2 linked regions of the Danio rerio genome follow. The protein of the gene in region 2 interacts with the protein of the main gene of each other region in a biochemical or structural test. Links are inferred from orthologs where the notes say so. Each region holds a gene or a part of one and is shown on either strand. Other genes may lie near its edges.

Region 1 (2,658 bases), on a different chromosome or scaffold from region 2:
CATTAGTTGATTTTAAAAAGTGATTACAACTAGCATAATTATACAAGTTAAGTCAATGTAACAGTTCCAAGTTGAAATGTTTTTACTCATATTATCTTTGTGAAGGCAACTTGTTGCTTTTAAAGGAATTGGTTTACTGGCTTTTGGTACAGTTACTTTTTACAGTGTATGCACTGTAAAGAAATGCTGGGTTCCACACAATTCCTTCATGTTGTTCCAACACAAATCAATTAAGTTGAAATAGTGGTTTTCACAAATTTAAGTGGACTGAACATAAAACAATTAAGTTGTCCCAAAACAAACTTAAGAATTGTGTTGTTTCAACTCATTTTGAATACGTAGTTTGAACAAGCAGCAAAAGCAGTGTAAATTGATTGCAACAATTTAGCAAAAATCGTATTTTTCAGTGTAGCATGTCATGACAAAATCTCAGTTTACTGCAGATTAAACGGTCATTATCTTGTCTAGAAAAATCAGTAATAGTTATTATGACATCAGAAAAATGAAGCTCAGCACACTTCATGAGCAAATGAGGATTTTTGGATTCCAAGGGAACACAGCACAGTCAGTCGTCTCTCTGACAATAAGCCCCTTGTTGCTAAGCAATTCAAGGCATTGTTGATGTATTATTATGAAACAAGAAAACATGAGATCTGAAATCACATGCCTGCTGAGATCACGTGGAGCACCTGTTTCTGGGCCTGACAGGCAACTAGCGGGTCCACGCAGATGCATAAACACCTGCGCACATGCGTAAACATCTGGACGGCGTGTAAATCTGAGCATGAGTAATGACAGCGTGACTGAGTGACTGAACTGAGTCTTGATGCAGCAGAAAACACTTACCTGGGTTTGCGATGCACCGCGCATGCTCAGTGGTCATCGTGCACTCCTTTGAGACGAGGATTCGCTGTGCATGAAGTCCACCAAGTTCATGTTCCCATCAGTGCTGTAGATTTCCGCCAGCATTTTAATAAAGGGATGCATTGTCATTTGGTAAAGGGATGAAGACAAGATAGTTGCATGAAGCATTCCCCTTGAAATTAACTCCCAAGACAGTAACTTGAAAACAGTGGCCAAACTGATCCTTCAAGCCACGGTGTCGGTGTGGACTCTGTTGTACAAGGTGTTTTACTTTGTGAGACAATGCAAACCGGTTATTTTGGACTCTGTATGTGATAATGCTGCGAAAGAATGACGCCTAGATCGCGTGATGGATGAACTGTAGTGTGGTGTGGATCTTGTGCTAATGAACAAAAACGAACATGATTGGTTTGTTTTCAATACTCACAAAAGGGACCGACTATAATGACTCTTTAGTCACTTTGGACGATGCACAAATAACTACACAGGGTGTGCTAAAAGGGTTTTTTACCAGAGTGTAGTACATACTGAATACTGCCATGCGGACACATGTTTGCCACAATGGGATTTTTAAGATAACATAGCCTTAAGTTATGCAACATGCTGCTCTCCAATTAATTCTAATAGTGAAACAAATTCCTTCCTGTTAGCTGAATTGGTCGTGGACAGCGTATGTTTGCTATTGTTTGGAATTAATTATAAATGCAATTTAAAACATGATTGCTATGGGGTCGTTTCTCTCTCTAGCTCAGTGTTTCTTTCCTCTGCATTAAAGTGGGAGACTAGAACATAATTGATGATAGTGCAAACGATTTAAACGTTATTGCATAATAGCATTAGATAAGAACTCGCCTCTTTTTCCTACAATTACTGACAAATGTAACTCATAAAGTGCCTATGCAAGTTCCTTCATTTAATGAACCGGGAGTCGTTCGGTTCTGTCAACTGAACTGAACAGGCGGGCAGATAGAGACACCTCTCCACGTCACGTAAAGCTGGTGATTTTTGCGTTGCCTGTCATGTGATTACAGGGTATGTTTCTCTACAAAAGTAGCCAGCCACATTGCAAAAAAGTTTCAGCTCAGGTCCAGAACTTAATGTGTGTGAGACAGTGTGTCTGCGCACGCGCGTACTGTGTGTGTCTTCAAGTTGTGCATGTGTGTGCTGTTAACTGATTCATTTGTGCAGTCATCATGATGAAAGGTCATCGTTCTTCCATAATCATACATCTGTCTGTAGGGTTCGTGAATGTGAACTGTTTTTCCCGCCTAAGTCAGTACCGTTCCCTCTGCTCGGGCTCTGCGTGTCACCCCCGCACAGAGATTCCGTCACGCCCTCCTCCATCTCCATGTACTCCGCAGCCTTGTCACCTAAAGATGAGCCCGATGGGGACCCCTTGAATTTTCTCAGGAAATCCGGAAAGTAGGGGCAACCCGGTGGGGGTTGTTCCACGGCGGGCGCCTGGTCCTCGTTATCAGTCTCCCGGTGGTAGAAGTAGTTGAAGTTAGACACGATGACGGGGACTGGAAGCGCAATGGTCAGGACGCCGGCGATGGCGCACAGCGAGCCCACGATTTTGCCCCCGACCGTGATGGGCTTCATGTCACCGTAGCCCACCGTGGTCATGGTCACCACAGCCCACCAAAACGCATCTGGGATGCTGGTGAACTGTGACGTGGGCTCGTCCGCCTCTGCGAAGTACACCGCGCTGGAGAACAGGATGACGCCGATGACGAGGAAGAAGATGAGCAGCGCCAGCTCTCGCATGCTCGCGCGTAAAGTGTGCCCGAGGAT
Region 2 (3,666 bases):
CCGTAATCAGCTGCTAAATTCAAGTCTGCTTTCCCGCGATGGCTCACGCTGAGCCATAGAAAGACTTGTGCGTCGCTTGTTATAAATCACAAATTATCAGTGATTTATTAGTGTTTTTAAACAAATAATTTTTATTAGATTACATTTAACTTTATTGTCATTACACATGTACAAGTAAAAGGAAACACAGATTAGGTCTAACCAGGAGTGCAAAAACAGTTATAAGTGCAATTTTTTATAGATTAATATACTATAAATATAATATCCAAGTTGTATTAACTATAATCAGAGATTTACAAATAGATGAATTATCTTAGATTTTAGACATTTAAATAGACATAAATACTTGCAAAACAACATTTATGGTTTGTAAAATCGCACTGATGTTTCTGTACATGACAATAATAATTATTTTCAAGTATAATTTGACTGTGCTGTATTCATGATATTATATATATGATGCAGCTCTGTTACCTAGTTACCTAGCTGGGGACTATTTTCAGATACTGTCTTTTGCCCGATTCACATGGGGCTTCAGCGTCAACACTTGATGGAGGCCGTGTTTGAAGTTGGGTCTGATGCGATCATCATAGCAGCATCAGCCAATGAAATTAGCCCGCAATCGCCTATTGTCAGAGCTAGGGTATTTGCATAAAGTGATCTAATTGGCTGATGCTTCCGTTGGCACTTAAGAATTTACTTTTGCAGTGAGCAGCGCTGCTGAAGCGACACTTACGGATCCACAATTGAGTTCGGCAATGCTTGACGTTACCCATTCGAAGTGAATGTGAAGCATTGACGCTAACGCACGTGTGAATGGGGTGTAATATCATTGCATAACAGCAAAGTTCCTTGATTATTATGCCAGAATGAGAGTACAGAACTATATAGAATAGCAACTTTTCCCTAATCATCAGTCTTAGTACAAGATATAACTACATAAGTGTCAGGCTTTGAATATAGGCAAATTATTGAAACTTTTTTTCTTTTTTGAGTGACATGCTAATAGTCAGTCCGATTCAGTGATCTACGCTAATCTAAGCTAAAAGTTCTTCCGCCATATCAGGAGATTGACCGGTTGGATTAAAAAATATTGGGAAAACTCCAAAGTTTAACTCTAGTTTCTAGAAAAAAAGTGAACTGTTGCTTTAACCAATCATATGGGTTTCCGTGATTTTTGTTGGAATGGAACTTTTTGGAATTGTAGTTGTACATAAAGCATGCTTTCTGTTGAAAGTAGACACTGTCTTGTTCGTACCGTATCCTGCCATCGTTGTAGGCTGGTGTTCCCTCTACAATTGAGCGAATAAAGAAGGACTGGTTACAATTGAGTTCTTCTTGTCCACCAACAATGCTGAAACCCAGACTGCCAGACGTGCTCCTGCGGAGGACAATGTCTTTACAGCAATAGAGATGCCTGGAATGGACAGAAAATTCAAGGTTAATTTTATTGTCATTCGGCAGATATACAGAGGACAATAAATTATGCAGCAGGAGGTCAAAGCATACAATAGAAAAGCCCTTAAAGGAATTGCATTTCATTGCGTCACTTTTGAAATGGTGGCAGATTTTTATTTTATTTTTTTTTTATGTTACATAGATCTAAATGAAGGTGATCTGTCTGTTTAGACCTTTAAAGACAGAACAGTAAATGAGATACATGGAGAATAATTCATTTATATTAATAATTTATAAACAATTTGTGCCTTATTTTACAGAGATATCATTTTTAGCTACTGTTATGAATATTAAAATATTAAAGGCCAGATTTTGACCACATGAGACTGAGACCTCAGATTTAGATTGGATTTCTGTGAAATAAAATAATGTAGAAATGAATAATCAAAATGTAATAGACAAAAGATAAACACAGAACTAGAAGAAATAAATTGAAAGAGAGGCTGTGAAAGGTCTATTTAAAGCCGTCACACTTTCACTGTGTAAACCCGTTACAGACTGAGGGTGAGAAGGGCTTTCCTCAACCCTGCTCTCACTTTTTCTTCACTGCATACCACTTTCTGAATTGTTATGCATTATGAAGTAATTTAGGAAGTTGTTAAGAACTTTCACACTCCTTTCAAATTCCCACGGATTTATTAAATACCGGCAGAGGAAAAAAGCTTTGAATGAGAGGGAGGAAAATGAGAAAGAAGAAAACAAAACTATATATTAGGATTTGGGCAAATAAATAATATTAATAATAATAATAATAATAATAATAATAATAATAAATGTTTGATCAAAACAATGTTTGTAGCCCTGGCTTTACTTTTCAGTGTCACTTTATTTTATATAAATGTTTTTTTCCAGTTTATTACTGTACTTAATATTAGATGTTCATTAAAATATATATAATAAATTATTTCAATTAAAAAGTCTTTAAAAATCAGTCTTGGCTTGCTTGCTTATTTTTGTTTGTATTAATTAATTAATTAATTAATTACTTTTTAAAATGAAATAAACATGACCTGTAGTGTATATAATTTAATTTAACTTAATTATTAATTTAATTATTAATTAAATTTAATTCAATTTAGCATGTTGTCACTTTTACATTAATCTTTGCTAAATTCCCTGAAATCTTTGCTGAAGTCCTCACTTATTTGCACTGTAGGAATCCTTAACTGTTTTCAAATCTGCTTTGTCCAATATATAATTGTGATAAATCTGATAAAGAGAAACCCACAAACAGTTTTATTTATGTGTTATTCTGCACATTGTACCTGGGCAGCTGTAGCCAGGACACCCAGAGTGGGGCGTAGTCATCATTGGGCGGGGGAAGTTTGACATCTCCGGGTGAGGAGGGTGAGAGGGCGCAGGGCGAGTGCAGGGGTGGCATGCAGTCCAGCGAGCTCTCGTTAGGGGGTCTCATTTCCAGCACCTGCAGGACCACCGGGGATGAGGTGTTCTTGAGGTTGGCCACAGCCTCGCTCCGGGTCACACCTGTCAGGTCGACTCCATTCACATTCAGGAGGATGTCACCTAAAAGATGGAATAATCATTTTTACTATGTGAATCACAAGACTGGAAGAGTATGGTTGTTGGTGAGGTTTTGTTGATTGGAGACAGTTTTTCATTATTTGAAACAACCTAAAATATTGCTATGCAAATTTAATAGAATAATGTGCATGCTAGAGTCATGCACAACATGGTTATAGAGGTTTATTAAGACTAAATGGGTCATTTTATGGGTAATTTATAATAGCTATTGCATTTCATTTCAGTTAATTCTTTAGTGCTTAATTCTGTTCTATACACTTGTAGTTTAGTAATTTTCACGAAACAGCTGAAGACCCCCCCCCCCCAAACACCTAATAATTCTAGTGTATTCTGTTTTTACACTCTCTATTCTTTTATTTCACCTTTCTATTCTGTAAACCACATGTGGTGCATCAGATCAACTGGAACTTATCCTAGCAGTGCTCCTTTTCAGTGCTTTCTAAAAAAATTGATAACATTTCTAAATGTCACTTATCTGTTTTCTATTTTGTCAAAAGTATGTATAGTCTTCCAATACTATTTCTACTTTTATTCCATATTTTTGTAATAGGTTAATAAAGTGTGTTCTGACATAAATGCTAACATTCAATTATTATATTTTCTATAAATACAGCAGTCAACATTTGATCAAAACTCTTTATCAAAGTTGTCCTGAAACCATTTTAA

The links. The genes of interacting proteins can lie anywhere in the genome.
Region 1: of the proteins of lnx1 (region 2) and kcna4, one has a biochemical effect on the other in vitro, tested with the Homo sapiens proteins (2 studies listed by BioGRID and IntAct, with this or other methods). The link is inferred for Danio rerio from reciprocal best matches to the Homo sapiens genes LNX1 and KCNA4.

The regions. Positions count from the first base shown.
Region 1 is NC_133182.1:32,643,593-32,646,250, forward strand, and holds part of kcna4 (potassium voltage-gated channel subfamily A member 4), read right to left. Parts: coding exon 2,086-2,658; 3' UTR 847-2,085; intron 1-846. UniProt on the Homo sapiens protein: Voltage-gated potassium channel that mediates transmembrane potassium transport in excitable membranes. Forms tetrameric potassium-selective channels through which potassium ions pass in accordance with their electrochemical gradient.
Region 2 is NC_133195.1:25,286,036-25,289,701, reverse strand, and holds part of lnx1 (E3 ubiquitin-protein ligase LNX), read right to left. Parts: intron 2,983-3,666; coding exon 2,724-2,982; intron 1,418-2,723; coding exon 1,259-1,417; intron 1-1,258.